Linked DNA regions of Oryctolagus cuniculus. The protein of the gene in region 2 interacts with the protein of the main gene of each other region in a biochemical or structural test. Links are inferred from orthologs where the notes say so. Each region holds a gene or a part of one and is shown on either strand. Other genes may lie near its edges.

Region 1 (4,617 bases), on a different chromosome or scaffold from region 2:
GGAGAGGAGGCACCACCGTGGGGGCAACGTGGCCTCTGTCTGTGGCCGTGACGACCCTGCCCATCCTCGGAGCCTCACCCTGTGGGATCCTGAGGCCGGAATCAGCCCGGGACGGGGGCAGCAGTGGGCTGTCCCCTTGCTGTGCCCTGGAGGGCTCGGCTGGTCCTGCGAGGCTAAGGGTGGCCACGCCCAGCAGTCACCTGGGGCAGGTGAGAGGAGTGACTTCTCCAGGTACCACCTACCCCTGGACATGGCCTTGGGGCTCCCTGCAGCTTGATGCGTTGGGGAGGAAATGCTTGAGGCGGACCCCCCCCCCAAGTTCTGGCTTTGCAGATGGGGAATCGGACGTCCCTGCTGGGCGAGCTCTAAGCTGTCCAGAGGAAGGAAACCACACTTCTCCAAAGACCTGCCGCAGGCCTTGTCCCAGGAAACGAGGAGGCCAGGGTAGTCACAGGATCTGAGGACAGACCCACGGCCTGCGAGCCAGGGCCCGTCCGCCCGCCACAGCGCCCGCTGAGCAGCCCAGGGCAGGGCGGGGAGAGCTGCTACTCAGAGCGCAGGAGGTCCAGAAGGAAGGCCCCAGGGCGGTGACCAGGCAGGCCGAGAGGCTGCACACCCAGCCAGGGCGGTGACCAGGCAGAGCCAAGGGGCTGCACCCACGCGAGATGACAGGGACGCTCTCCCCACCTGGCTGAGCTCCTGTCCTAAGTCCATTGGCCGGCATTCCCTGGCTTCCACTGCCCGGGGACCCAGCAGGAAGCACCGCCCTGCGGCTCCAAAGTCCAGACCTGCCATTCCTGCCAGCTGCCTGGGCACCAGGGTGAGCACCTGGGCTCAGGCTTTGACAAAAGCCACGGCCTTGCCGTAGTTGCCTGAGACACACAGCCTTTTGGCGCCCGGGCGGCTCGCGGCGCCTACGCGCGAGGACCTCATGCACAGAGAGGTCAAGGAACCTGCCCCAGGCGGCAGGGTCCAGGCTGGACTCCAGACAGACCAGCACCTGCAGCCTGGCCCCCGCTGCAAACATGGGACCCACGTGCAGCAGTGGAACCGACGAGGGGACGCGTGATGAGCACAGCTGCGTGTGCAGCCAGGTTCCAGCTCCCAGACCCCAGAGAGGCCCGTTGGGCGATCGAGGACCCGTTCTCCCAGCCTTCCCCTCCAGGCGCCCCGTGGCTGGGCGAGGGAGTGGGCGGAGCCTAGTATGATGGGCCAATGGCGGGGCAGGGGCGGAACTTGTGGGCAGGACCTCCAGGGGGCGGGGCCATTAGGCAACGAAAGGGCGGGCGGACTCGGAGGAGGGACCAAAGAGAGAAAAAACCAATGGAAGTGCAGAGACAGCAGGGCGCTCCAGGGATAGGGGGCGTGCCCGAAGGGAGGTCGACGAATGACAGTTCAGAGGCGGGACCGGTGGGCGGGTGATCGGGGAGGGTGCGGGCCCAGGGGGGAGGACAGCCAATGGCGGGACGGGGGCGGGGCCTCCGGCTGGCGGGCGGGGGCGCGGAGGGGGCGGTGGCGGCGGCGAACAAAGAGGCGGCGGGCGCGGGCGGCCGAGCGGAGCCGAGCGCAGCCGAGCCGGGCCGAGCCGGGCCGGGCCGGGCCCAAGAGCGTGCGGACGATGCAGGCTGCCAGGCCAGGGTCCGCGGGTTCCTGAACCCCGCGCCCGGGCCCAGCGAGGGAGCCCCGTGCAGCGGCCGTGCAGCCGGAGGCGGCCGGGCCCGCCATGGCCGGGGTCAGCTACGCGGCGCCCTGGTGGGTGAGCCTCCTGCACCGGTTGCCCCACTTCGACCTGCGCTGGGAGCCCACCAGCAGCCAGTTCCGGCCCGAGGACAGCGACTACCAGCAGGTGACGCGACGGGGCCCCTGGGTCGCGGGGTCAGGGGCCCGGATCATGGCCCCCTCGACTCCCCCAACCCCCATCAGGCCCCCTCCTCGTGGGCCACAGCCCCTCTTCCTTCCGGGGGGCCCCCTATTCAAGGGCCTGAATACACCCCACCCCCACCAAGGGTCCCAGACCCCTTCCAGGCTGCAGCCGCCCCCACCCACCCAGCTCTGTAGGCCTCACTTTGTAGGGTTCCAGGAAGCCGGCCCCCTCCCCTCCACGGGCCCCCTGCCGCCTGCCTGCTGTTGGCCAGCTCCTCACCGGGGGCCGCCGGCCTGGTTCCTCTCCTAACCAGAGGCTAGCAGGCCTGAGGCAGGCAGAGGGGATTCCTCGCCCCCTCGCCCCGTCGCCCCAGCTGGGGAATCCCATGTCCAGGCTTGGGTGGGTGAGAGGCCTGGGCAGACGCCAGCCCCCTGTGGCTGGGCGCCGGGATGTACACACAGCATGCCGCGTGCCGCTGTGGGCACCCAAGGTGGGCCCGTCCGGGAGGCTGGAAGGGGCTGAGCCTGGGCAGAGCTGGGGGGTGGCAGGGAGCACTTTGCAGCCCTCTCCCCAGGAGCCCGGGCCTGGCCCCGTGCCAAGCCCCAGCGCCGAGCCACTGTCATTAGAGTGCAAGGCAGGGGACCAGGCTGTGGTCATTTCCTTCCTGCACGGGGATCCGGATTCCAGAAAGCCCCGAGCCGGGGGCGCGTGGTCACCCCGGCACCTCTGGGTTGCTGTCCGGCTGGGCCTGTTGGGGGCGGGGGATGGGGCCGGGGAATCTGCCACCTCACTCTCGCAGAGCAGGGCTGTGTGTGGCCTCGCCTCTCCGGAGCACGGGAAGCCGAGGGTGAGCCTGTGTGCTGGGGAGCACGGCGCTGCCCCCGGCCTCGGCGCTTCCCTGGGCGCCGGTCCCCCAGCTGACCACCTTTCTAAGCAGATTAGAAAGGGGAGCGGGATTGGCCCGGACAGGCCCAGAGACAGCGAGCGGGAGGAGGGCCGTCTCCGTGTGCCCCAGGAACGTGGCAGGGAGATGGCTCTGTCCCCTGCGGGCCCTGTGTGAGCCAACAAGAGGTGTGTGCTCCTCCAGGACGCTCTGTGACCCTAGGGCTCATCCGGGTCTCAGCTCCGCCCGGGCACTGGGGCTGCCCACCCCAGCTGGACTTGAGGCCGGCCCTCCGGGTTTGCTCAGCAGAGCCTCAGGCCCTGGGGAGCCCTGGTTCCTGCCCCCTGCTCCCCTGTGGGCGGCTCTGACTCACTCTCCTGCCCCCTCTCTGCGCCGAGCAGAATTAGCCACTGAATAATTCACAGCGTGGAAACCGGCCTGCCTCCATCCTGCCGCCTCCGCGCCGGTGCTGGCTGTGCCGGAGCCACACCCGCACGTGCGGCCAGCCCCCACCCTCCGTGCTCAGGTGCTTTGGGCAAGGGCTGGACCGCCCTGAGCCCTCGGCACCTGGACCGGGCCTTGGCACTGGCTGTGCCTCCTGCAGGGGGCGGAGCCAGGAGCTCCCTTCCAGGGTGGGCATGGGGCCTGGCACGAGGCGCGTTCTGCTGTCCAGGTGCGGTGTTGCTGGCCGGCACCCTGTTAGCTCCCCGTGCCCTGGACCCTTGGTCGGCCCTGCTGGAGAGGACAGCTCCTGCCTCTCAAGCTGCCCAGATGTGGGGAGGGCCCCAGGACAGGGCCGTGTGGGGCTGGCTGTCACTAGCCCCTTTGCATATAGCCCCGGGACGTCTCCCTTGTGCAGATTAGCAAACTGAGGCACAGAGAGACGGGACCTGGCTCACCATCCCTGCGAGCAAGCGGTGGGGCCAGAATCCTGCTCGGGCCTCTTTCCGCTGCCCCACGAGGAGCCGGTCAGCCGTGGGGCAGGGCTTCTGGGGCCCCCACAGCCACCCCACTGCGAGGCTGCAACCGGAGGAGCAGGAGCCGATGGGGCCCTTCTGAGGACACCCAGAGCCCTGGGCTTTGCAGGCCGAGGGTGGGTTCTGCACCCACGGTGTCTTCTTGGGCCACCATCTTCCTGGCCACTGCGCCCACCTCTGGGCCCGAGAGGTTGCTGAGTGGCGGGCCCCACGGTGCCTGTGGGTCGCCCCGTGCTGCTCCCTAGCCTCCGCTGGGGCCCCCGAGTGGCCGGGGGAGGATCAGAGGCGGCCGCGTGGCCCCACAGCTGAGCTGGCAGAGCCGGAGACCAGCGGCCGGGGCACCTGACCTGGCCCAGGGCCTGTGGTGCCGCGCAGGGAAGTCCTGATTTTCCGGTTGGGCAGGCCCATGCTGGCTGCCTTCCTGAGGGGTCCCCCGGTTGGAGTGTGGGGAGCGCCAGGCCTGGGCCCCAGCCCTGGCGCTTCTCACCCTGTGACCTTGGGCGGCCCGTGCGCTTCTGGGCCCGGCAGGGGTGGCGTCCACGCTGTCTGCTCTCAGTCTGCCCTGAGACTCGGAGGCGCTGTCCTGGTCCGGGCAGGCCAGGAGCTGCCCGGGGCAGGGGTGGGAGGGGGAGAGAAGAACGGTTACAGTCTGGGTGGGGTCAGAATGGGGGCGTCAGGAGCCCCGCAGCCAGGGAAGGCTCCCTGGAGGAGGAGGTGTTTCCTGTCTGCTTGGAGTCTGCCCACGCCTGGTGGGCACCCTTCGCTGCCTGTTTAATGAAGCCCTCTGGTGCCTGGGGTCCGCCCAGCACGTGGGGCTGTTTCTTGCGAGAACCTGAGCACCCAGGTGTTTCAGCAGAGACACTAGTGAGGAGGCAGAAGCAGCGTGCAGAGGC
Region 2 (3,473 bases):
TATGTCAGCTAGGAAGACTAAATGGATGTAACTTTTTTCAGTTGTTGCCATCAATCAATTGCACAACCTTAAGAGAGCTCTTGGTCCTCTAGAGCTACCAGCTTTAATTAGTACTGTATATTTCACTTCATAGTATAGGGTCTGTGACCATGAAGGAAGATACTTGTTTCAGCTGTTACAGGGCAAGATTGTCACTAATCCCCTGAGAATCCTGTTGGTACTCAGCAAGTGTTTATTTTTATCTTAGATTTCTTAAATGTTACTATCAGTCTTTAACTATTTATTTATTTATTTATTTATTTTGGTAGCGGTACCTATCACTCTCGAGATGAGAGTACAGACAGTGGACTGAGCATGAGCAGCTACAGTGTCCCTCGAACCCCGGATGACTTCTTGAACAGTGTTGATGAAATGGATACAGGTTGGTATTCCTTATTTTAGTTACCTGACCTCTACTCAGAGATAATCATAGTATCACCAGGTCCAGTAAACCATGATGAGCAAAAGTTCTTTAGAAGAAAGCCAGTTACAATCCTATAAACTTCATTCAGTTTGAGCCAGCTTTGTTTATGTATGCTGATTTGTAATTTAAATCTTTTCCTGGTTTTTCAGTATCATGGATTGAGTATCTTAACCCTATCTGAATAAAAATAACATAACTTATTTTAACATGCTAATAGATTGGTAATTGAGGACCCTATTAGAAGTGTCTCCCTGTTTTAGATTTGTGTTTTTAATTTTGGAGAGAGTATTCTGTACTTGATTTAACGTCTGCCTGTCTCTTTTCTCTGAGGGGTTTTGGCTCAACTTTGTTATGGGGCTCAGGAAAATGGATAGGAAAGGTTATATGGTAGGCCCATCTACTTTATTTTTAGAATAGTTGTAGTGGTGTTTCAGGAGCTAAGAAATACCTGCCTCACAGGGACATTTAAGGAACCATTTCTCCTTTGCTTTTCCTGGTGCCTACTGCCCTGGACTTTAGAGCTGTTTCATGAAGTGGCAAGAAATGGAACAGATCTGTAGCTGGCGGGCTCTGCATGTACCCAGCAGCTTCTCTTGTGTGCCTGTACTTACCCAGCACCATGGCTTTGGTGCTCCCTAGAGTTCACCCCACCTCCTTGTTTGTACTTACCTTGATCTTAAACTACCCTTAGGAGTCATTTCAGACCTATCTCATGCACCATGCCTCTCTTCACTCTTACCATTTTATTTTCTCTTTTTCTCAAAACCTTTATAAAAAGTGCTCAAAGGATTAGCTTTTCACAAAGCATATTCTGTTGAAGCTCTGAGGAATGTTAATGTTGTCATATGCAAAAAAAGTTCTGTGGCCAGGTGAGTTTAGAAACAGAGAAGCAAGACTCTTACTTAGAGACTTGTAGGAGGTTTGTTTTGCTGTTGTCAATGTGACTCTCCAAGAGTCTAATAGAATATTCATGCAGTCCTTGTATTGTATTTTAGTATTCCCCAAAGTGTACGTAAGAGAAAAAATAAGGTCTGTACCATTTATTTAATTATTTACTTATTTAAATATTTATTTATTTATTTGAAGGCAGAGTTACAGAGAGGCAGAGGCAGAGAGAGGTCTTCCATCCGCTGGTTCACTCCCCAAATGGCTGCACTGGCCGGAGCTGGGCCAATCTGAAGCCAGAAGCCAGAAGCCAGGAGCTTCTTCTGGGTTTCCCACTTAGGTGCAGAGGCCCAAGGACTTAGGCTGTCTTCCACTGCTTTCCCAGGCCATAAGCAGAGAGCTGGATTGGAAGTGGAGCAGCCAGGATGCAAACCAGTGCCCATATGGGATGCCGGCACTACAGGCAGCATCTTTACCCGCTATGCCACAGTGCTGGCTCCTCTACCATTTGTTTTTATATTACATCTCATTGTGATGGTTAGGGTAGTAATGCTACTGTATAGTATACTTGTTCTTTTTCACCCTGCTACATATAATTTTTGAAGGGATTTTTATTTTTTTCCTGATCCCCTTCAGTGCTCAGCACATAAGCCATCAAACTGTTGGTTAATATCAGAACAAATGTTGATGAAAAAGTAAACTTGGTATTGTTCTTTTGTTATCTGTGGGTGGTAGAGCCTAAAATAAATTCTGGGCCTCAGTTCAGATTGGTCAGGCGTGCTTTTCTTTCTCTCTGTATTTCTGGATGTTCATATGATACACTTCTGATGTTACCTTTTTTAAAAGGCCTTTATTAATCGCTCTCTCTCCCGACTAGGTGATACCATAAACCAAAGCTCCCTGCCCTCACAGCAGAACCGTTTCCCAGACTACCTTGAAGCCATTCCTGGGACAAATGTGGACCTTGGAACACTGGAAGGAGATGGAATGAACATAGAAGGAGAGGAGTTGATGCCAAGTCTGCAGGAAGCTTTGAGCTCTGACATCCTTAATGATATGGAGTCTGTTTTGGCTGCCACCAAGCTAGATAAAGAAAGCTTTCTTACATGGTTATAGAGCCCTCAGGTAGACTGAATTCTAAATCTGTGAAGGATCTAAGGAGATAAGACATAATACCTGATATTTCCAAATAAGCCGGTCACAGTTTTCTGGCCAATACAGAAACAGATGAACAAACGTCCAGCAAGATTCTTTCATCCACTCTTCTGCTCTTCCTTGTCCATTGCTGCTGTTAATATATTGCTGACCTCTCTCACAGTTGGCCTTAAAGAATCAAAAAACAAAAAAGCAAAAAACAAAACTGTTTTATTTCTTTTGCTATTATAACTACTGTTCATTTGGGGGCTGGGGGAAGTGAGCCTGTTTGGATGATGGATGCCATTCCTTTTGCCCAGTTAGACGTTCACCAGTCATTTTAACTAAGTACTCAGACTTGGAAGTCAAATGCTTCATGTCACAGCATTTAATTTGTTCAAGCAATTGTTTCTTCAGCTGCCTTTGGCCAGTGGGAAAACAAGACTTACTGGTCTGACAAGCCAAAAATGTTGTATCTAATATTGAATGATTAATGCTGATTTGAAGAGATAGCTGAAACTAAGGCTGAAGACTGTTTTACTTTCAGTGTTTTTTTTTTCCTCCTAGTGCTATCATTAGTCACATAGTGACCTTGATTTTATTTTAGGAGCTTATAAGGCATGAGACAATTTCCATAGAAATATATTAATTATTGCCACATACTCTAGTATAGGTTTTGGTGGATATTTTATGGTTTTTTGTTTGTTTGTTTTTGTTTTTGTTGGAACCTAGGCAAATTACCATATTAGTGAGTCTGTTTATAGGTATAGCTTGGAGCGATTATTGTAGTTCTTTTGGTAAAATCTACATTTCCTAGTTTTTTACCATATTATTTAAATCTTGATTATTCGCTCTATACACACACACACACTTAAAATGTTTATAATAGTGTGATAGCAGAATGTATCTTTGTTTTTAGGTTTCTCTACTTTCCAGTTTATTTTTAAAATGGTAGCTTTGAATGTATGCATTTAGAGTACATGGCTAGTAG
Region 3 (4,552 bases), on a different chromosome or scaffold from region 2:
AGCGGGCGCATGCCTGGTCACTCACACTGGGGGCAGCAAGGCTGCTGGGGGAACGGGGAGCCTGGCAGGCCTGGCGGGCGGCTCAGAGGAGACAGCCGAGTGCAGGACCTTGGTTCCCACGGACGGGTCCAGTTTTCCCTCGCCCCCGCCTCTCTCTCTACCCCCTCCCCCTTCTCTCCAGGTTTGGGGAGCCCTCGGGAGGTTCCCCTAGGGCGCCTGCCTTGGAGGAAGGCCTGAGGGTTACTGCTGGGCGGCGGGCGGATTGCCCGGGGAGCGTCCCCTGGGGCAGGGCTCTAACACACACCCAGGCTCATTTCTAACTTCCCACCTAACACTTCCTCACCCCTCAAACAATGTGGCCACAAAGCTACAGCCTGGCAGGTACTGGGCGCTGCGGGGTGGGGGCACACAGTGGGCGCAGGGTCCAGGGTGCCAGCTGCAGCTGGACAGGCGGGTGGTCAGCCCAAGGCACCGACCCTCAAGACCTGCAGAGGTGAGGGTGGGGGCACCCACGATGCCACGAGCTCCTGGAGGTGGGCACCCAGGGGGCCACGGTGTGGGTGGGGGCTGGAGAGCCCAGGCCAAGAGAACTGGAGACGGGAGAGCAAGGGGTGAGGACTGGGGCCCACCTGGGAACTGTCTGGACTGCTGCGCCCCACCCCTGGGGCAGGCATGGGCAGGGGTCCCTGCTGGGCTGGGGCGGGGCAGGCCAGGCCGCCTCAGGCCTCAGCCGTGAAGGCTGCAGGCTTGGGCCGCACAGCCCTGGGCCTGGGGGAGGGGTGCTTCCCTCTGTGCCAGTAAAACTGCACCTGGAGAGGCCTGGCCAGGCAAAGTGCTGCTGGCGGTTGTCAGCCGCAGGGCAGGGGAGGCGTGGCAGAGGCAGGGGGCAGGTGCCAGAGACCTCGGCTCAGGTGTGCCGGTGCTGACCACAGAGTACAGAGGCCAAAGTCTCGGGGCAGGAGGCCAGCCCCCGACCGACCCTGCAGCCTGGGACTCCAGGGTCTGCCGGGGCCTGGGGTAGGCCTCAGCCAAGTGCGAGAATGGAGGGCCGACCTCTAGGGAGCCCACGGGCACACAAAGCCCACCCTGTCACTACGGCCTCCAGGGGCCTCCAGGCAGGTCGTGGGGCTCTGTGCAGGGCAGCCCTGGCTGCGGGAGGGTCCCGGGGGTGAGGGCAGTGGCTGGGGAGCAGGTGAACCGTGCGGGTGGGCAAAGGACCGCCCAGGGAGGGCAGGCAGGGCCTCACTCCGGGGCCTCCCTGGGGGTTCTGCCTGGGGCCACTGTCTCCCACCTGGCCCCCAGCTCAGGAGCCGGCTCTAGGCCCTGCACAGGAAGCCAGAAGCGCTGGCACCAACGTGCTGCCAGACACAGGGGTTCCCCGGCCCTGAAGCCTCCCCTCCAGAGCCCCTCGGGCAGCTGGGGCCGGGAGGCAGGGCCAGGCCAGCGCGTCGTGGACCCGGGGCGGGGGCGGCCGGGCGGCGGGGGCGGGGAAGGGGCGGGCGCGGGGGCGGTGCCCCAGCCCGAGCCGGAGCCCGAGCCGGAGCCCGAGCCCGAGCCCGAGGCGACTGGAGCCGAGCGAGCGCAACGCCGAGGCGGCCGCCCGTCCCCCGCGCCGCCCCCGCGCCCCGGCCTGCGGGCCCCGTAGCGCCGTGGCCAGCCCGCGGCCGGCCGGTGGTCAGCGGGCGCCATGGCCGCGCCGGAGCCGTTGCGGCCGCGCCTGTGCCGCCTGGTGCGTGGCGAGCAGGGCTACGGCTTCCACCTGCATGGCGAGAAGGGCCGCCGTGGGCAGTTCATCCGGCGCGTGGAGCCCGGCTCCCCCGCCGAGGCGGCCGCGCTGCGCGCGGGGGACCGCCTGGTCGAGGTGAACGGCGTCAACGTGGAAGGCGAGACGCACCACCAGGTGGGTGCCGCGCTGCGCCCCGGCCGGCTGGGCGCTGCCTGCGGGTGGCGGGCCCCGCACCTCCCCCGCGACGCTCAGCCCCGCACCGCAGCGCGGGGGAAGGCGTTCTGGCAGGGAGGGGCCGCACTGCGGCTCCAAGCCGGCCCTCGGCCCCCTCCCCCCGCCTGGCTCCAGCCTGTGTGTCGGTGAACCCGGGTGCTTCCTGAGCCTGTGGGACTGTGTGACCGCGCAAGGCCTCCGGGGTCCTGCCCGTGTGGGTGCCAGCAGCCAGGCCCCTGCGCGTCTGGGCGGTGTAGACCGGCCAGTGTGTCTGCAGCCGGGGTGCCTGGATCCGGTGCGAGTTGGCAGTCCCTGGTGGCACATTCCATAGCTGCTGCGACCCTCACCCTCCTCGGGGCGCTGTGGCCACTGCCCCCTGCTCCTGCAGCTGGAGAGGGTAGGGCCTCTTCCCTTGCAGGCTGTAACCCCTGGGATGTCCGTCTCCCGCTGGCCAGGGACTCACCTCAGATCCTGGCCAGAGTCCAGCCTCCCTCCGGACCGGCTGCTCCGGCTGCTCCGTGTCCCTCACAGCACCGCTGAGCCTGTGGCCTGTCTACGTGGCCAGTACTGGGCCTAGGGGTTAGCAGACAGCTGAGCCACTGGCCGGGCTTCCCGGGGTCCCCTAGCCTCTGTCTTCCAGCGAGACTGGAAGCTGGGTAGAGCGGTGCTGTGTGCTGAAGTGCAGTGGGGGTCAGGGCCACAGGTGGGGGAGGCAGGGCTGGCAGAGCTGGCACCCCGCCTCTGTGTGACAGCCATGGCCATCCTCGCTCCAGCTGCACCTGCTGTTCCGGGCCCCTGGGCACTTGTCTGAGAACTTCACACCCAGCCCCAGCCCCAGGAGGTGCGGCCGGGACTCTGCTTTACAAATATGGAAACTGAGGCTTGGAGCTTCAGTTTGGGTCACAAGTCGGGGAGCAGGGCCGGGCGAGGACGGGCCTGGCTCGCTCCCCCTGTTGCTTGACAGCATCTGGGGAGCTGGGCAGCAGGTGGGAGCCTTCTGCTCCGCTCTTCCACAGGCCGAGGGCCATAGTGGGCACTGCCCTCTCCCTGCTGGCACACGCTGGCACCCTGTGTGCTCCCAGACACACAGCGCCTGGAACGCCGCACCTGTGCCACGGGCAGACCTGCCCCTCTCCCCGCTGTCCTCCTTACCCGACCGTGTGCGGGGGCCTGAGCGGGAACCCAGCTCTCAGCTGTCCGCAGGCCCAGCAGGAGTGGGTCTGTGGTCTGCAGGCAGACGGTCTGTGTCTAGGGCAGGTTGAGATTCCCGTGAGAAAGTTGAAAGCAAGCGAACATGCACAGCCAAACTAACACCCGACAGCACCTCCCGCCTCCAACCTGGGCTGGAAGGCAGACTTGGAAACAGATGGTGCGCACACACGAGCGTGTGCACACGCACGGGCAGACCGAGCCCCTGAAGCTCATTCAGTGCCGTCTTGGTCACCTCCACCCTGGGCTGAGAGCAGCTCAGGGCTGGCTGTGTCAGGGAGCCGGGGGCGGGGGGCGGAGCCGGCGGGGCCAGCCGCCCACCCCTGGCAGCCTGGCTGCCTGTCTGCCTGCCAGCCCAGGCCATCCCGGAGTGGTGCCACCGTCCACGTGCTGCCCGGGCTGCCGGCCGCTGACCTGCCCCCGTCCCTGCCTGCCCCAGGTGGTGCAGAGGATCAAGGCTGTCGAAGGGGAGACCCGGCTGCTGGTAGTGGACAAGGAGACGGACGAGGAGCTGCGCCGGCGGCAGCTCACCTGCACCGAGGACATGGCCCAGCGAGGGCTCCCGCCCGCCCACGACCCCTGGGAGCCAAAGCCGGACTGGGCACGTGCAGGCAGCCTGAGCTCTGACGCTGGCCAGAAGGTACGGCAGCCTCTGCCCGTGCGGCCACCCTGGCCTCTTGACAAGTCTTCACCCCGCCCCGGCTGCCTTCTGGGTCCCTCTTCTCTCAGTCCGAGTTCCTAACTGGGGGTAGACAGGACAGCTCGGCCCCCTTCCCGGCTCGCTCTCTGTCCCTGCCCTTAGCCTGGCCCAGGGCGACGAGGCCCTTCCTGCCCGGTGGGCGGAGTCACCGGACCCTGGGAAGGAGCGAGCCTGGCCCCTCAGCAGCGTCTGCGTCTCTGTCTGTCTGTCTGGTCTGAGTGTAGGGTGAAGCCCTCGGAGAGAGCTGGCCCCAGAAGCTGCTGTGCGCAGCCTGGTTCAGGAAGCTTCTAGGGCGAGCCCACCCTTCCCCCAGTCTTCAGCAAAGACCCCCCAGCCGCAGGAGGGGTGGGGACCTGGAAGTAACCCTGCGGGGCAAGCATGTGAGCCCTGGGGAAGAGCCGTCTCCTACCTCTTTGGTTGACCACATCCCTTGGGGGGTTCCGCCTAGGGGTTCCCCAGATTCCGCTTTGAGAACCCCCGGCCTGGGGGCAGTGGAGGTATTGGGCCTAACGTGTGGGGTGGGCGGGGGCCTTCACGTGGACCTTTTTCCTTTCCCACCCTCTCCCACCACAGCTGGCTGCGCTGTGAGCTGGGCCCCGGGGGGCCCGTCCTGGGCGGGCTGGCGCTCCCGGTGGGACTCCTTGTCCTGGGCAAGGCCTGGCCTGGGAGCCCACGGGACACTCTTGGCCTTCCGAGAGGTCAGG
Region 4 (4,749 bases), on a different chromosome or scaffold from region 2:
AACTTGTTTTTGTCTGGAACCGCGACCAGGGACGGATGGCAGGGAGTGTGCCCCCTCCCCTGCAGCTCCAAAGCCTGGCTGCCCTTGGCGAAAGGTCAGTGGCCTCACCACCGGTGCGCGGGGCTCCCGGAGCTCCTGCTCCGGCCCCCTGGGCTGCCGTGTGATCCCATCCCTCTCTGATGGGGGTCCAGGGGGTAGGGAAGCCTGGCACCTCTCCCAGGACCTGCCCCTCTCTGTCCCCCCCCAGGCACCCTGATCTTGTGGTGGAAGTGGCCCATCCCAAAATAATCCACGACTATGGGGTGCAAATCCTGTGCCATGCCAATCTCCTGGTGAGCCCCACCTCGGCCCGGAACCTGGCAGCCCTTCCTGTCTCGGTCCCATCGTGCGTCCCTGACCCCACCCCTCCCTGCCTCCACCCACGGCCAGGTGGGGTCACCCTCGGCGCTGGCTGACCCGACCACCGAGCGGCAGCTCCGGGAGGCCTCGCAGCGCTGGAACCACGCTGTGTTTGTGGCTCGAGGGGCCCTGTGGGGCGCTGAGGACATCATGAGGTTGGACGCGGCCGGAGGCCTCCAGGTGAGGGACCCGCTGGGCTCCCCGGGGCCGGAGGGGGCCTGCAGGACCCCAGCCCCTCTGACCTCGGCCCCCGCTCCCAGAGCCTCCGCGTCACTATGGCCACGCACCCGGATGGCTTCCGGCTCGAGGGACCCCTGGCTGCCGCAGCCCACAGCACTGGGCCTCGCACGGTCCTCTACGAAGGCCCCGTCCGTGGACTCTGCCCCTTTGCCCCGCGTAACTCCAACACCATGGCGGCCGCTGCGCTGGCTGCCCCCAGCCTGGGTTTCGACGGCGTGATCGGGGTGCTGGTGGCCGATCTCAGGTGAGCGGAGCTGAGCGGGGAGGGGTCGCGCGGGCTGCAGGCCCCCACACTGACCCCCCCCCGCCTCCTGCAGCCTCGCGGACATGCACGTCGTGGACGTGGAGCTGCGCGGACCCCCGGGGCCCACGGGCCGGCGCTTTGCCGTGCACACCCACAGAGAGAACCCTGCAGAGCCGGGCGCCGTCACGGGCTCGGCCACCGTCGCGGCTTTCTGGCGCAGCCTCCTGGGTGCGGCCGGCCCCTGGAGCGGGGTCCCGAGATCCGGGGGCCGGGGGTCTGGGGGCGGGGTCCGGGGGGCGGGACCGGGGTCTGGGGGCGGGGCCCGGGGATCCAGGGGGCGGGGTCCGGGGGTCCGGGGGCAGGGGCCCGGGGCCAGGGTCTGGGGGGCGGAGGGCCGGGGGACCGGAGGCCGGGGGGCCTGGGTCCGCCTGGCCCGACGTCCATTACTTCCGAGCCCCCCAGCCTTCTCGCTCCGCGACTGCCCCGTGCCCCCGCGGGGGTCCGGCTCAGCTCCTGTCTCCCCCGCAGGCTGCCGCCAGCTGCCCCCCGGGCCCGGAATCCACCTCTGCTGAGAAGCCTCCGCCCACCCGGCCGGCCCCTCGGTGGGCGGACCCTCCCCGCCCCCGCCCTCCCCGGCCGGCCCCTCGGCGGGCGGACCCTCCCCGCCTCCGCCCCACCCCCGGCCAGGCCCCGGCCCCCCTTTCCCGGGATGTCCCTCCAGTCTCAGTAAAGACCCGAGGCTCCTCCCCCACCATCCCGGCCTTCTTTCCCTTCCGTGACGTCACGCCGCGTCCGCACTCCGCGTGTGACGCCACTGCAATGGGCGGGCACAGGCCCGGAAGCTATCGCGAGAACCTACCCGCTGCGTTTCCCAGGAGCTTCCGAGCGGCCGTGGGCGCGGTCGCAGCCAGGGGGCGGGCGCGGGGCGCATTTCCGGGATTTGCACCCCCTCCTCCCCCGACCCACGGAAGTTATAGTCGCGCGCCCTGGAGGGGCGACGGCGGACTTCCGGGTTAAGCGGCCCTGCCCGCTGGGGCCGCCGGGAGTTGTAGTCCACTTTGCTGGTGTCGCTGGGAGCTGTAGTCCGTCCCGCCTGCCCCGTCAGCGCGGAACTGCTCGTGCCGCGCTCGGAGCCCAGCGCCGCCGTCCGAGGGGATGCGGGAGCCCCCGGCTCCGGGGAGCAGAGAGGCCGACGGGGTGAGGGGCGTCGCCAGGCGCAGGGGACCTGGGCACCGCGCTGCTTTTCCTGTTGTCCGGGGAGGGGGCTGGTTGCCAGGGGAAGGCGGGCTCTGGTGTTGCTAGGCGACCGGTAGAGACCCCTCCCCCGTCACCCAGAGGCAGGGGAGGAGACTTCCGGTTTCGCTGGGTAATCAGAGACTTTGTTGTCGGGGGGGGGTCCTCCGTTGCTAGGTAACCAGCGGGGGTCCCGTTGCCCAGGGCCGCGGAGGGCTGCGTCTCCGTCGCCAGCCCCGGATGCCAGGGAGCCTTGTCCCTGGAGAGCCAGGGCGCGGGGGTCCCGTGTCGTCCCCGGCTGCCCAGGCCCTGCCCTCCATGGAGGAAGCCGCCCCCAGGCCCTGGGCCCCTGAGCGGCCTCTGCGCCCCCTCCGCAGGAGGAGCCCAGGACGGCATGTCCCAGGCCCCGGGAGCTCGGCCGCGCCCGCCCTCCGTGTACCACGAGCGGCAGCGCCTGGAGCTGTGCGCCGTGCACGCCCTCAACAACGTCCTGCAGCAGCGGCTCTTCAGCCAGGAGGCTGCCGACGACATCTGTAAGAGGTGACCGCCACCGCCCGGCCCGCCGCCTCCTACCTGGGCCTCCGCCGGTGCAGCCTCCACACAACCCCGGAGCCAGCCTGCTGCCCGTCCCCCTGGCGCCCCGGGCCCTGGGCCTCCCGCACTGTGCTGCCCCCGGGCCTTTGCACGGGCAGTTAGTTCTCTCTGCCGGGCGTGGCTGCCCTCACCGGCCCAGACTTCAGACTTCACGCCTGCATCGCGTCTGCACTGCCTGCTGTCCCTCCCAGCCACCGGCTCAGGCCTGGCCCTGGTCCACCGGCCTCCCCCTGACCCCACCCGTGCACCCCAGAAGTGGCCCTGCCTGTCTCTCCCCACTGCCCGCCTTGCGCCGCTGACCCACAGCCCCCGAGGGATCTGTGCGGGAGGTGGGGGCGGGAGGTGGGCTGTCCCCTCCCACCTGCCCCCCAGGGCCTGCTGGGGACAAAGCTGGATGAGGCTGGGCCCAGAGACATGGGGTGGGGGTGCAGGGTGGCCCTGGGCCTGGAGCATAGGCTGGGAGGTGGAGCCAGCAGGGAGCAGACCACGCAGGGCTGTGGGCGCTGGGCGAGCAGGAGGGACGGGGTCGATGGGGGGGCGGGGCGGGGGCAGGGTCCTCCCAGAGACAAGTGGGGCCAGTGGCGGCCATCCAGGCGGTCCCAGGCACTGAAGGGCCGGGCCTGGGGGTCAGCGGGCATCTCCAGGGAGGCGACGCCTTGGGTGGGCTTGCAGGACAGAGGAGGGGGATGGTGATGGCGAGAGGGGCCGAGGGGCTCTGTGCAGGGCAGGGTCGGGGTTCAGAGGTGCAGGTCTTGGGGGGCATTGAAGACAAGGATGAGTCGAGGACGAGGGGCCCTTCCTGCGGTGTGGGAAGAGAGGGGGTCCCCGCCTCCACCCCGACTCTCGCCCGCCCCCCAGGCTGGCCCCAGACTCCCGGCTGAACCCACACCGCAGCTTCCTGGGCACCGGCAGCTATGACGTCAACGTCATCATGGCCGCCCTGCAGGGCCTGGGCCTGGCCGCCGTGTGGTGGGACAGGAGGAGGTAGGGCCCCGGGCGCCGCGTGGCCACGGGGTGAGCTAGAGGGCCCACTCACGGGCAGTCTGGGCAGGAGCAGGTGGGCTGGCGGCAGTGGGGAGGACACGGGTGGGTGGGTGGGTGAGGGAGGAGCGGGGGGGGCAGGGGGGGTGGAGGGAGGTGCGGATGGGCGGCGGCTGTGCTGGAGACTGGACAGGCCTGGATCTGGTGGGCGGGCGAGGGAGGGGGTGGGGGCGGGCGGCAGGGCCGGCGACCGAGTCCCCTCGTCCCCTCCGCCCGCAGGCCGCTGTCCCAGCTGGCCCTGCCTCAGGTGCTGGGGCTGATCCTGAACCTGCCCTCCCCCGTCTCGCTGGGGCTGCTGTCCCTGCCGCTGCGCCGGCGGCACTGGGTGGCCCTGCGCCAGGTGGACGGCGTCTACTACAACCTGGACTCCAAGCTGCGGGCGCCCGAGGCCCTGGGGGACGAGGACGGCGTCAGGTGAGCGGGGGCAGGGCCCCCACCGCCCACCCCACCCCCACCCCCACGCGGCTGCCTGGGCTCAGCCTCCCCCTTTCTCCCACCCAGGGCCTTCCTGGCCGCGGCGCTGGCCCAGGGCCTGTGCGAGGTGCTGCTGGTGGTGACCAAGGAGGTGGAGGAGAAGGGCTGCTGGCTGCGGACGGACTGACCGCCGCCGCCGCCTGTCCGCCTGCTGCCTGCCCGCCGGGGTCCCTGCCAGGCCTCGCGGGCGCCAAGTGCCGGGGAAGGGCCTGGGGCCTCGTGGGCCGGGAGGAGGCCCCGCCCCTTCCCCACTCCCCCGCCCCCCAAGCCGCTGCTGCCTCAATAAATCTGTGATTTGCTGCTGGTCTGGCCACGCCCCTCTGCTCGCTGGGGGTGCAGCAGGAAGCCCCCAGGCTGCACGCGGGGCACACGTTCAGTGGGGAGCGCTCAGAGGGCCCCCCCCCGCGCTCTCGGGCAGGTGGCTAGGAGCCCCAGTCCTGGCCCTGTGAGGATGTCCCCAGAGGCAGCCGAGGGCAGGCTGGGGGCGGGGGCCGGGGGTCTCCTGGGCGATGTGGGTGCAGGCA
Region 5 (3,863 bases), on a different chromosome or scaffold from region 2:
AGGCCCTGCCAGGAAAGCCCCTATGGGTCCCGGGGCCCTCGCTTGCACAGCCTCAGGGGGCCTATGAGGTATCACCGCTGTTTACCAGGGGCTCGCTGTTTGCCTGGCAGTGTTTTAAGGGGTGTCTTACGTGTCTTAATGAATCTGTAGAATAGCCCTCCGAGGCAAGTACCTCCTGTTTATAAGCAGAAATGGAGCCGCCAGAAGGTTGAACTACTTGTCGCAGAACCCAGCCAGCGGCCAAGCAGGGATGCAAAGCAGGCCGGCGGTGTGGGCGTACGTCCCCCGCCTCCCACCCCGCTGCCTCTGCGTGAACCCAGCCCCACTCCGCTGCACCCCTCGCAGTGAATCGGAACTCACGGCTCTTCCCCTCTGCAAACACAAGGATAGGCAAGATGAATGTAGATGTGGGTCTCCTGTGCTTGAGGGCCCGGATGTGACGTCACCTTCATGTCACCACCCATTGAGGGGACCATGAAAGAATGAACCTCCCGTATTTACTGGAAAAAGTGACCAACCCACCTGGAGCTGACTCTCAGTCCTCTCCCTCCTATGTGTCCTGAGAAGTGTGGGGGCATTGGGGTCTTGCCCAGTTTCCTCTGCAAGGAAGCAGCGCCTTCCCTCGTTTGACTCAAACAGGCTCCAACGCCTTATTCCACCAGGTGGAGACAAAGGACCGTTCAACAAACAACAGTTAGTACAAGTGGAGCCTCCCTAACCTGAAAATCCAAAGTGCTCCAACACCCAAAATACTTAGATACCGTGTGACAAGTGGGGCACTCCATACTGTGAAACTTTTTGTTTCATGCACAAAATTATTACAACTGTGTGTAAAATTGCCTTCCATCTCTGTGTAGAAGGTATATGAAAAAGTGCTTTTTGTGTACATGCAAATTATCTAAAAGCTAAAAAAAAAAAAAAAAAAGATCAAAATCAAAAATGCTTCTTGGGCCCCAACATGTCAGGCAGGGGTATTCTACCTCCACGTCCCATTTCTGGCTGTTTCTCATGGGCACCTGGTACGTGTGTGTGTTTGTGTGTGTGTGTGTTCATGTTGCTTGAGATCTTTTTCTGCCAGAGTTAAGATTTCATAGAAAACAGAAACATGTTCTGTGGTTTTCCAGATTAGGAATAACATGAGGCACATGCTCGCAGCGTGTTTCAGCTGCTATAATTGTGTTCATTACATTAAACAGTTTTCAGTACGGCCAAGTGGGATCGTGATTCATCGGCCCTGTTTGACGCAGGCTGTAAAAATCAAGATTCCTTTTTTTTTTTTTTTTTCCTTTAGGAGCTCAGGAATTAACCTGGCGTGTTTATGTTCACCCCTCTTCATAAACAGGCTGTCTCACACCTGGGCAGATTTTTTCTGAAAAAGCTCCAGATAGTAAATATTTTAGGCTCTGGGGGCCAGACTGTCGCTGTTACAACCGCTCAGCTTGGCCATTTGGCAGTATATAAACAAGTGGATGTGGCTGTGTTCCAATAAAGCTTTATTGACAAACCCAGGCTGGATCTGACCCACTGACTGTACTGGCAGACCCCCGGCCTAAAGGGTTAGCCCCCATCATACCATGTCCTCTTACCCCAGCGTTTCTCAGCCTCAGCACAGTGGACATTTCGGGTCTGATAACTCCTCCTTTGGAGAAAGGGGGCTGTCCGCTACCTTGCTGGGTGTTTAGCAGCCTCCCTGCATACAGAAGTACTGCCCTCTCCCCCAGAAACATCTCTGGGCATTGGCCAGATGCACCCTGGGAGGGCGCACGCTCCAGCTGAGAAGCACTGTGTCCTGGGAAAGCCAGGAACCTTTGATAACGTAATGACCAGCAAGAAGGTTCAGAAGTAACCATCGGGGCGGGTCCAGCTCGGAAGCCCAGCACAGCCAGGACAGAAGAGGGGCCGCTGGGTTTGACCACACACAGGGGCTGGTGGCCTTGAGAGGAGCACCCAAGGGGACCAGAACCTGAGGGGGAAGGATAGAAGAGACAGAGGAGATGGTTTACCCTGTGCACGCATCCTCCAGGAGTGTGACTGTGGAACGACGAGGCCCCAGGCAGAAGACGGGTTGCTTTTAGGAATGGCAACTCCCAGAACGCATTAGCTCGACTTGAGGGTTCTGTGGTAGGGAGGGTATGGTCGGCGAGGGGGAGAGAGGAAGGAGAGCTGACCTGACGAGGAGACAGAGCAGGTGCTCCCAACCCCAAGTGCACAGGAGTGCCTCCACGAATTTCTCCTCCATTGTCCCTAAAAGGGAGCCGGGCGCACTGTGTGCAGCGCTCCTGTCCCTGTCCCGCCTCCTCGCGGAGGAGGGAGGCGAGGTGACAGGTCCCAGGGGGAGGGTGTACAGGAGCCTGTCACGTCCACCCCAGACCAGACAGCAGATCACGCACACCCCTTCCCTGCAGGTCACCCGGACTGCCCAGCACTCCCCTTCTGAATTTCACACGCCGCTTTCCTTCCTCTGCAGAGTCTTCTTCAAGATCAAAAGCCGAAACGCACACATGAAAACCCACAGGCAGCAGGAGGAGCAGCAGAGGCAGAAGGCCCAGAAGGCGGCCTTCTCGGCGGACATGGCAGCCACGATCGAGAGGACTACGGGGCCGGCGGGGGCGCCGGGGCTGCTGCCGCTGGACCAGCTGAGTCTGATCAAACCCCTCAAGAGCGTGGACGTGCTGGACGAGGACGTGGTGCAGCAGCTGGGCGGCGGCGTGGAGGAGGCCGACGTCGTGGACACGGATCTGCTCTTGGATGATCGGGACCCAGTGCTGCTCCAGGGGGACACGGAACTGTAGAGCCCGCCGTGCCACTCAGAGACGGTGCAAAGCCATGGCCCCTGTGTGCAGTCTTCAGGAAGCCCGGACTGACTGCTCGTGTTTGCAACCCTTTTAAACTACCTGTTTAAAAAGTGGTCGTTTTATTCAGGTTTCTGAGGGGGGGGGGGAAAACCAGTTTCTTTTCCTTTTGTTAAAAAAAAAAAAAAAAGTTGTGTGGGGGTCGGGGGTGGGGGAATAAATGCTTGGCGCAACTGTCTATAAGAGGTGTTTCATCTGGGCGTTCTCACACTGCGTCCTAGCAGGGAGCATGCCTGCTGCTCATGGCCCATTGCTGTCATGTCAGCCCTCCTGGGCGGCTCCCCCAGAGCGTGCTGCAAGTGCGCGCGTAGGAAGCAGCCCACCCCCCTCACGCTGGGGTCTCGGGAGGAGTTAACTTTTACTCTGTTCGGACCAGCCAGGAAGCATTCTTCCACCCAAAACCATAGAAGAGCCTGTTCTTTTTGGCCACACTGAGAATGGTCAGTGGGGTCCTGAAATTGTTTTGTGCCACTTGGAAGTACCAGGAAACCTCCACCGTGGAGATGTGGCTGTAATTCACATCTGGTGAGCTACAGTTTACTGTAGCTGCGAGAAATAGGATGGAGTGGGATTTTCCGACACGTGTGAGGGCAAATACAAAGGAAGCAGCATTGACTGAGGCTGACGGAATGGTTTCAGATACACCTTAAGGGCCGTGTTTGCATTCAGATGTTCAATGTGTTCTCACAAGTCACTTAGCAAAGCACTTCTAGACCTCCCGGCTACATTGCGCGGCTTTCTGTTTGTACTTGAAGGTACTAGACCTCTAATCCTTCACATATGTCATCGCCCAGGCTTTTGAGCTGAGTCACACTGACCCGTCCCACCGGGAGGGCAAAAGCCAGGCGGGGACACAGCCCCAGCACGGGGTGGATCCTGCTTCTAGCGTGGAGTGACTGTCCGAGCAGGTGCTGGCAGGCCTCAGCCCGCCTCAGGTAGGCCAGGTGCCCCCAGCGCCCTGTAAGTGTGGCTCGCAGGCTGGGCTGCGTGGCTGGCACAGTCTTGGCATTA
Region 6 (4,026 bases), on a different chromosome or scaffold from region 2:
AAGTTTCCATCCATTGGTTCACTCCCCAAATTGCTGCAACAGCCAGAGCTGAACTGATCCGAACCCAGGAGCCAGGAGCCAGGACTTTCTTCTGGGTCTCCCATGTGGATGCAGGGGCCCAAGCACTTGGACCATCTTCCACTGCTTTCCCAGGCACATTAGCAGGGAGCTGGATCTGAAGTGGTGCAACTGGAAACCATATGGGCTGCTGGCACAGCAGGCTGTGGCTTTACCCACTATGCCACAGCACTGGCCCTTGTCTGAAGCTTTTGATAACACCAATAAAAGATTTGGTTGATCCATTTAAATAGTGCCACTTGAATAATATAGTTTATTATGGGAAATTATGATTTCTTGTAAGACACATTTCAAAAATTAAAGATGTGACATTTATATACCTATATGTATACCTCCAAGTCTTGAAAATAACAGGTTGTGGTTTTTCAAGACACAACAATGACTTTGTAAAGTTAGAGTAGAATTGTTAAACATCCACATCAAATGATTCAAAAAATTTTTGGAGTGCCACAAGGTGCTTTCTTCCATGTTAATGGCATCATGAAATGGATAGGACAGATGAACAGATGATTGTTATTAGAAAACAATGACCATGGGGCCGGCGCTGTGGCATCATGGGTAAAGCTGTCACCTGCAGTGCCGGCAACCCATATGGGCACAGGTTCAAGACCTGGCTGCTTCACTTTCTATTCAGCTTTTTGCCATAGCCTGGAAAAGTAGTAGAGATGGTCCAAGTCCTTGGGCTCCTGAACCTGCATGGGAGATACAGAAGAATCTCCCGGCTCCTGGCTTCGGGTTGGCACAGCTCCAGCTATTGCAGCCATCTGGGGAGTGAACCAGTGTATGGAAGACCTCTTTCTCTCTGCCTCTCCTTCTCTCTCTGTGTAACTCTGACTTTAAAATAAAATAACTAAATGTTTTAAAAAAAGAAAGCAATGATCATGTCTGTCAGAGTCTTCAGTGGCAGCTTCAACATCTATTTTATGGCTCAGTATGGGTCCTTTTCTATGTGGTTATGTTCACTTATCAAATATAATTTAGAGATTCCCTAAATACATATTATAAATTCAAATAATCTGTCAAGATATAGAAAAGTTTTAATTTAATGATGAACTGTATCTTGGTGACACATATGTAGGTTTTCTGAAGATTTGGCAGATTGTCTTGAAAGCAGACTCCTCTCTGGAAAGATTGTCATTCAACCATAATGTTTTTTCTCCATATATAACCAGATGGTTACATAAGTTTACATGAGGACAATAGATGAGTAGATTGTATTCACAAAAGAAAATACAAGTTTACTATTTATAAAGCTATAAAAGTAAAGGTTGCACCTCATTTTTCACAAGATAGTCATTTGGGATCAATAGTGTTTTAGAAATTATTGAGCTTTCTTTAATTCATTTGTATATATTTATATGAATCTAGGATATTCATTATTGCCTTTCGACTTTCACAAATGATGCTTAATGATTAACTTTATCAAAATGCTTATATTCAGAGCTTGATTGAATTTTTGTCTTCTACATGTTGTTGGGCTAAGTATAGGGTTTAGAAAGTTTATTTCAGAATGATGGCATCTGAACAAAGACTTGTGCCATATCCATGTTCTGACTCAAAAATAGGAATAACTTAGTGTTTTGTGTATGCAGTAAAAGCAAGGACCAAAAAAGGATCTGCTCCATCTGTGTGTATATGTTTATATGTCATCTATATTATATACATAGAGATGCAATTAAGCTTGAGGAGAGCAGCATTAATTATCATCATTTTTGTATTTTAGGCTAATACTTATTATACCAGATGGATTTAGTAGACTGAGCCATACAAAAATAGGCACTAAATGACTGGTTCAAGATACAAAACAGCTATTTAATATGATTCAAACTTAGTTTGCTATTTTTCCATTATGATTAAATATTGAAAATTATTTTTGTAATTATACTTTCTTATTAAGCAGTTTCATATATAAAATCCAGAGAGCCAACTAGAAAATATTAGATGTTTTCATTCATTTTTTTCTTTAGATACTCTTCTTCCTACATATAAAAGTTCAGTGGGATCCTTGTTACTTGTACAGACATTCACAGGAAACCATATAATCTGAAACAACTATTTCTTTACTTTATTTCTTCAGTGTGGTGTAGAGTTAAGCTATTAATCCTTTGTTTTACCATATGCTTTATAAGAATTCTGACTTCTCTACATTTTTCTAGCCTGATAGGTAATCTTATTTTCTAATATAAATTACTGACTTCTAGAAAAAAGAAGCATTAAAATAACTGGTCCCATATGTAGGAAAGACAATTAAGAAGAAAAGAAAAACAGTCTGGGAGATAGGAATTCTGATCCTCACCTTGTTGTTGCCTTGCTTTGTTATTAACTTTGTTATTTCTGGTCCACGTAAACATTTTTAGTAATCCACAAATAGCTGTGAGAAACAAGTGTGCCACTTTCTTGTTCTCAACAAACAAGTTGACCTTTGTTTATAACCTTCATCTGACAAACGCTTTCCAGAGAATATATGTTAACTGTTATTTTTGTGTCCCTTCAGAATACCTGAATCCTGTGGAAGAGAATCCTTTTGTTTCTCGAAGAAAAAATGGAGAACTTCAAGCTTTGGATAATCCTGAGTATCACAAGGCTTCTAGTGGTCCACCCAAGGCAGAGGATGAGTACGTGAATGAGCCATTGTACCTCAACACATTTGCCAATGCCTTGGGGAATGCGGAGTACCTGAAGAACAACGTACTGTCTGTGCCAGAGAAGGCCAAGAAAGCATTTGACAACCCTGACTACTGGAACCACAGCCTGCCGCCTCGGAGCACCCTTCAGCACCCAGACTACCTGCAGGAGTACAGCACAAAATATTTTTATAAACAGAATGGACGGATCCGGCCCATTGTGGCAGAGAATCCTGAATACCTCTCTGAGTTCTCACTGAAGCCAGGCACTGTGCTGCCTCCTCCACCCTACAGACACCGGAATACTGTGGTATAAGCTCAGCTGTGTAGTTTTGAAGTGGAGAGACAAGCCCACTCCAGTTTCCACACCCCCTCTCTTGCTCTGGTGTCCTTCCTCCTATCCCTAAGGCCAGTAGTTCTGACACTTCCCCGTGGAAGACATAGAGATGCAATGATAGTTATGCGCTTATGTAACGTGAACATTAGAAGGAAGGGCTGAAAGAGGAAGATAGGTGGAACTTCACTGTTTCTTCATTTCTCTGCATGGGTTGGTAGCAGAATGGAACAGCTAGAAAAGGACCCGAACATGTGAGGCAGTACTGCCTGCTGCCAAACTAATTCTCAGCTCTTTTTTTCTTTCTTTTAATGTAGAGGGTTGAAACACCTGTACTATCTGTTCCTATCTGTAGGAACTGATGTATGCATAATCAACACCTCTGAAATCATAATAAAGTTTCCATCAGAACAAAAGGATAGCCCTTTCTAATATAACATACACTAGTAACCGAGATAGAGAATCCTATTTCTTTTGCCAACAGTCTCTATCTTAGGAAGTAAGAATGGCCAACCAGTTTTTAAGTCTCTATCAAAGTTTGAAGCAGTAATTATGTTTTAAAGCCTATTCTTTTAATTTTGTTTTTGCTTTGACGTGGTCCTAATATTAGTTTCTTTCCTATATTTGCCTTTAAGTTCTAACTGCAAGGATATTTACATCAAAGCTTTTTGACAGAATTTAGGTAAGAGATACTTAATGTGGTGAAATAGATACTATTTTAAATAGACAGTCTTCAAAATTAGGAGAGGAAACCAAGACATTAATCAAATGAAACAATAAATCAAGATTTCATGTTTGACACTATTGAATATATCCTCCTCTCATACTTTACATTCTTCGACATTTTCTTCTCCATAAAGTGACAGTACTTGGTAGGCAGTTGGTAGTCTTAAGAGTACAAGGGAAACTAGAGACAGTTCTTTGTGGTTCAAGAAAACTACTGAAACTTTTAGGGGTGGTCCAATGACGAAATCCATTGAACTGGAAGAA
Region 7 (4,026 bases), on a different chromosome or scaffold from region 2:
CTCACAACAGCCTGGACTTAAATTATTTAAATGGCACCGTCACCAATGGCAGCGTGTGTAGCGTTCACAGCATCAACTCCCTCAACTGCTCCCAGAGTTTCATCCAGGCTTCACCTGTCTCCTCCAACCTCAGCATCCCTGGGAGTGACATCATGCGAGCTGACTACATCCCCAGCCACCGGCACAGCGCCATCATTGTGCCGTCTTACAGGCCCACCCCCGATTATGAGACGGTCATGCGGCAGATGAAGAGGGGCATTGTGCACGCGGACAGCCAGAGCCAATCTCTGCGCAACCTCAACATCATCAACACCCACGCCTACAACCAGCAGGAGGACCTGGTGTACAGCCAGCCCGAGATGCGGGAGAGACACCCCTACACCATCCCATATGCGTTGCAGGGGGGTTATGGAAACAAACTCCTGGGTCCTAGTGACCCAGTGACCCCAAAAAGCAAGGCAGTGCCCAGCAAGCCGGGGGCCAGCGCCATCTCACACACGGTGAGCACCCCAGAGCTGGCCAACATGCAACTGCAAGGCAGCCACAACTACAGTGCGGCCCACATGCTCAAGAACTACCACTTCCGGCCGCCGCCCCCCTATCCTCGCCCCCGGCCCGCCACCAGCACCCCGGACCTGGCCAGCCATCGCCACAAGTATGTCAGTGGCAGCAGCCCAGACCTGGTGACCCGGAAGGTGCAGCTGTCGGTGAAGACCTTCCAGGAGGACAGCTCGCCAGTGGTGCATCAGTCCCTGCAGGAGGTGAGCGAGCCCCTCACGTCCACCAAGCACCATGGCGCAGTGAACAAACGCCACAGCCTGGAGGTGATGAACTGCATGGTGCGCGGCATGGAAGCCATGACGCTCAAATCGCTGCACATCCCCCTGGCCCGCCGCAACACCTTCCGCGAGCAGGGCCCGCCCGAGGAGCCCCCGCAGCTGCCCCAGTACCAGCACAAGAAGACACTCTCTGATGCCACCATGCTGATCCACAGCAGTGAGAGTGAGGAGGAGGAGGAGGCGCCCGAGCCCGTGGCGCAGATCCCCACACTCCGTGAGAAGATGGAGTACAGCGCGCAGCTGCAGGCTGCCTTGGCCCGCATCCCCAACAAGCCCCCGCCCGAGTACCCCGGGCCAAGGAAGAGCGTGAGCAACGGGGCGCTGAGGCCAGAGCCGGGCAGCCTCCCTCCGGCCGTCACCAGGGCCAGGCTGCTGAGACACGGGCCCGCCAAGGCCCTCAGCGTCTCCCGCGCCGACCAGCCCGCCACAGCCGGGGCCTCTCTGGGCCCGTCCATCTCCGAACCCGACCTGACCAGCGTGAAGGAGCGGGCCCGGAAGGAGCCTGTGAAGGAGAGACCTGTGTCCGAGATGTTTTCCCTGGAGGACAGCATTATAGAAAGAGAGATGATGATCAGGGTAAGCGTCTTCCTCTCTCTGGCACTTCCACCGTGGGGCTGCGGAGAGTTCGCAGTAGATGCATGTTTTGGGAAAGCGATGCAAGTGTTTCAAACATGTGGCTTCTGCACCAAAAGACGCTCAGCTTTTTGTCCCATCTTTGAAGTGCCTTGGTGCATATTTTAAGCCCTTGAAGAGCGTGCAAGGCTTGTTGAGTGGACGTGTAGTTTGTAAAGGGGTGGTGGGCATTAAACAGGTAGTATTTTATTTCACCGGACGTTGATTTCTGCCCTTTCAAGTAGACCTTCCCCTTTCATTCATGGCTTGCAGCACGTAATCTTGGTGCGAGGGGTTCTTACAGAGTTTTGGGGTTGTTGAGGTCCCCGCCTAGCCCAGCATTTTGCTCTTTGGGGCTCACACCCTAATTGAACTGCTGGCCGCCCCCCCCATCTCTTGGCATTTTGCTTTTTTAGGGGAAATGTACTTTTTCCTCCAATCAGCTTTTGAAAGAGCAGCTTCCCTACAGTATACGGCTCTCTGTATAGATCTTTATGTTGAGATAGCTCATCAGTGATGTCCAATGATATGGCTGGACTTACTTTCAGAGTTTCTTCCAAGAGATATTCAATTCAAGAACATTGTAGATATTGGATGTATAACTTGAAAGTTTACTATTGTATTTCAGTTCTCTGTCAGGTGTACTCTGTCCAGAGTTCACCCATGTACATGAGTGCACATGTACATTCACAGTTATTACCTTTGAAGATACATATTAGATGTTAACAGTCTTTCTTCTAAAAATGCGTGATCCAGGGGGTTGGTGTGTTTTCAGGCAACACACACAGAACAAAAAGTGGATCTGCATCTACTAACGAGAAACTTGTTGGATTGCAGTTGCTGCTTTTAAAAATCTCCATTGCTGCGTGTCCCCAAAATTTTCACTCTTAAAAAGTCATTTAATTATGCAGCTCAGACTGACTTTTGTTCATTGCAACTGCACGAAGAGGTCGCAGAGCCTGATTCAGGAGCACTCCAGAACAGTTGCAACTTGGCTTTGATGGAGTTCATTACACTCCCGATGTTTGTAGTCTTCCTCACTGCTCGCTGGGAATCCGTCTGAAAAGTAGGATCAGAGGCCAAGGTTTTCAGGAGGCCACGTTGCTGAGGTCAGAAATGGAATCCATAGCAACTCTGCGGCTTTAGAAAAACCTTAAGAACATTCTCAGTCTCGTAGTTTTGGCCATCATTGAGCAGTGCTGGTACAAGCAGAACTTTTTCCACTTTCTGCGGACCTAGAGGGAAATTGTGAACAATTACCTGCGTCTCTGGCACAGATAGCTTTTGGCTGGGAGGGAGTGAAGTGCGGGGGTGGGTGCCACTGTGGGAGAGCTTTCCTAGCCTGGAAAAAAGTAATTCATTTGTAGAAAGGGATTTTTCAACACTTCTTGGCCCCAGGCCTCTTAAAAGCAACATTAGCCTCAGGAACCTATTGGTCTGGCCAGCTTGATACTTAATGATGTCCACATGGTCCCATAACCTCATTTGGTCATGTTCATCTTCTTAAATAGCCTGTGGCCAAAATCATGGCATTTGTCCTTGCAGTATCAAAGGAGCAAGGGTTTTGCCACTGTTTTTTTTTTTCCCCTCCTCCCATATTCTGTTCCATTCCATCCATATGGATAATAGTGACTAACACACTCTACCATTAACTTTTAGTTCAGAAACATGGTTCTTCCCCACTGCTCTTACTTAATTTTCTCCAAGTCTGGAACTCAAGGACTGCTGTCCTCTGCTGGTGTCCAGACCTCAGAGGAGGAGACCAGGCAAGGCGGTGACCATGCCAGCGACTCTGATTCTCCATCCTTATTTTGGGATGCAGCAACTCAGCCCTGACCAAAGGAACAACTACACATCTCAGAGACTTCTCTGCCTTCCCCACCATGGGCAGCCTTTGTAGGCCTGATAGGGGTGGTTGAGAGGAGATGGCTACCGTGACCATCCTAAGGCCCTCTCTGTAAGGGAACAATGAGAAACCCTACACAAATGGAGACCAGCAAATGGAGCGGGTGGGGAACAGGTATGGTGAGTGGTTGGTGGTTTGGAGCTGCTTCCCTGCTGAGTGGATGCACCCAACCTGCTGCCTCTATGGCTTCTCCTTTGGCTCCCACTGCTGCCTGAACAGGCGTCAGAATCCAGACGAGTTCAGAGTTACCATTTTCTCTGTGGTCAAAGGCTAATAGGATGTGTAAAAGAGACATTGTTTGATTTATCACTGGGCTTTCAGTTTTCACCAGATAGATAGCAATTCTTTCCCAAGAGAAATACCAGTTACTGACTTTTTGTTTTGGGCCCCCTTGGGGTCACCTTCTAGTGCAAGTGGGGAGAAAGTAGAAAGACCTTTGAGAGGCCCTTGGGACCCTTTTTCAGGAACAGTTGATCTCTCAAAACTTCGGAGAGGATTGATAACATTCCCAGCTAAATAAAAAGGGGTGATGAGAAAAAATCCTCTTGCAAAAAAAAAACAGACTAATAAGCTCACGAGGACTCACACATTTAAATCTAGACTCCTCCCCAAGCTGGTGCCTGAGATTGAGAAGCGGAGGCCATACTGAAGGGTGGGTGTTGCACCTTC

Evidence for each region.
Region 1: the proteins of YAP1 (region 2) and TTYH3 interact in a test that uses a peptide from one of them, tested with the Homo sapiens proteins (2 studies listed by BioGRID and IntAct, with this or other methods). The link is inferred for Oryctolagus cuniculus from reciprocal best matches to the Homo sapiens genes YAP1 and TTYH3.
Region 3: the proteins of YAP1 (region 2) and NHERF2 form a complex in vitro, tested with the Homo sapiens proteins (2 studies listed by IntAct, with this or other methods). The link is inferred for Oryctolagus cuniculus from reciprocal best matches to the Homo sapiens genes YAP1 and NHERF2.
Region 4: of the proteins of YAP1 (region 2) and JOSD2, one has a biochemical effect on the other in vitro, tested with the Homo sapiens proteins (2 studies listed by BioGRID). The link is inferred for Oryctolagus cuniculus from reciprocal best matches to the Homo sapiens genes YAP1 and JOSD2.
Region 5: the proteins of YAP1 (region 2) and TRERF1 interact in a test that uses a peptide from one of them, tested with the Homo sapiens proteins (2 studies listed by BioGRID and IntAct, with this or other methods). The link is inferred for Oryctolagus cuniculus from reciprocal best matches to the Homo sapiens genes YAP1 and TRERF1.
Region 6: the proteins of YAP1 (region 2) and ERBB4 form a complex in vitro, tested with the Homo sapiens proteins (2 studies listed by BioGRID and IntAct, with this or other methods). The link is inferred for Oryctolagus cuniculus from reciprocal best matches to the Homo sapiens genes YAP1 and ERBB4.
Region 7: the proteins of YAP1 (region 2) and PTPN14 form a complex in vitro, tested with the Homo sapiens proteins (3 studies listed by BioGRID and IntAct, with this or other methods). The link is inferred for Oryctolagus cuniculus from reciprocal best matches to the Homo sapiens genes YAP1 and PTPN14.

The regions. Positions count from the first base shown.
Region 1 is NC_091450.1:37,340,107-37,344,723, reverse strand, and holds the start of TTYH3 (protein tweety homolog 3), read left to right. Parts: upstream 1-1,507; 5' UTR 1,508-1,723; coding exon 1,724-1,846; intron 1,847-4,617. UniProt on the Homo sapiens protein: Calcium-independent, swelling-dependent volume-regulated anion channel (VRAC-swell) which plays a pivotal role in the process of regulatory volume decrease (RVD) in the brain through the efflux of anions like chloride and organic osmolytes like glutamate.
Region 2 is NC_091432.1:93,685,782-93,689,254, forward strand, and holds part of YAP1 (transcriptional coactivator YAP1), read left to right. Parts: intron 1-308; coding exon 309-421; intron 422-2,225; coding exon 2,226-2,464; 3' UTR 2,465-3,473. UniProt on the Homo sapiens protein: Transcriptional regulator with dual roles as a coactivator and corepressor. Critical downstream regulatory target in the Hippo signaling pathway, crucial for organ size control and tumor suppression by restricting proliferation and promoting apoptosis.
Region 3 is NC_091450.1:33,196,589-33,201,140, reverse strand, and holds the start of NHERF2 (Na(+)/H(+) exchange regulatory cofactor NHE-RF2), read left to right. Parts: upstream 1-1,637; 5' UTR 1,638-1,687; coding exon 1,688-1,900; intron 1,901-3,587; coding exon 3,588-3,788; intron 3,789-4,552.
Region 4 is NC_091449.1:7,409,905-7,414,653, forward strand, and holds JOSD2 (josephin-2), read left to right. Parts: upstream 1-1,710; 5' UTR 1,711-2,080; intron 2,081-2,293; 5' UTR 2,294-2,510; coding exon 2,511-2,656; intron 2,657-3,568; coding exon 3,569-3,694; intron 3,695-3,970; coding exon 3,971-4,165; intron 4,166-4,252; coding exon 4,253-4,352; 3' UTR 4,353-4,528; downstream 4,529-4,749. Other genes in the region: ASPDH (aspartate dehydrogenase domain-containing protein), read left to right, coding at 1-94, 248-332, 430-579, 660-883, 957-1,111, 1,412-1,455; translation initiation factor IF-2, read left to right, coding at 4,735-4,749. UniProt on the Homo sapiens protein: Cleaves 'Lys-63'-linked poly-ubiquitin chains, and with lesser efficiency 'Lys-48'-linked poly-ubiquitin chains (in vitro). May act as a deubiquitinating enzyme.
Region 5 is NC_091436.1:127,715,338-127,719,200, forward strand, and holds the end of TRERF1 (transcriptional-regulating factor 1), read left to right. Parts: intron 1-2,467; coding exon 2,468-2,792; 3' UTR 2,793-2,937; downstream 2,938-3,863.
Region 6 is NC_091434.1:28,236,291-28,240,316, forward strand, and holds part of ERBB4 (receptor tyrosine-protein kinase erbB-4), read left to right. Parts: intron 1-2,572; coding exon 2,573-3,018; 3' UTR 3,019-4,026. UniProt on the Homo sapiens protein: Tyrosine-protein kinase that plays an essential role as cell surface receptor for neuregulins and EGF family members and regulates development of the heart, the central nervous system and the mammary gland, gene transcription, cell proliferation, differentiation, migration and apoptosis.
Region 7 is NC_091444.1:28,668,611-28,672,636, reverse strand, and holds part of PTPN14 (tyrosine-protein phosphatase non-receptor type 14), read left to right. Parts: coding exon 1-1,415; intron 1,416-4,026. UniProt on the Homo sapiens protein: Protein tyrosine phosphatase which may play a role in the regulation of lymphangiogenesis, cell-cell adhesion, cell-matrix adhesion, cell migration, cell growth and also regulates TGF-beta gene expression, thereby modulating epithelial-mesenchymal transition.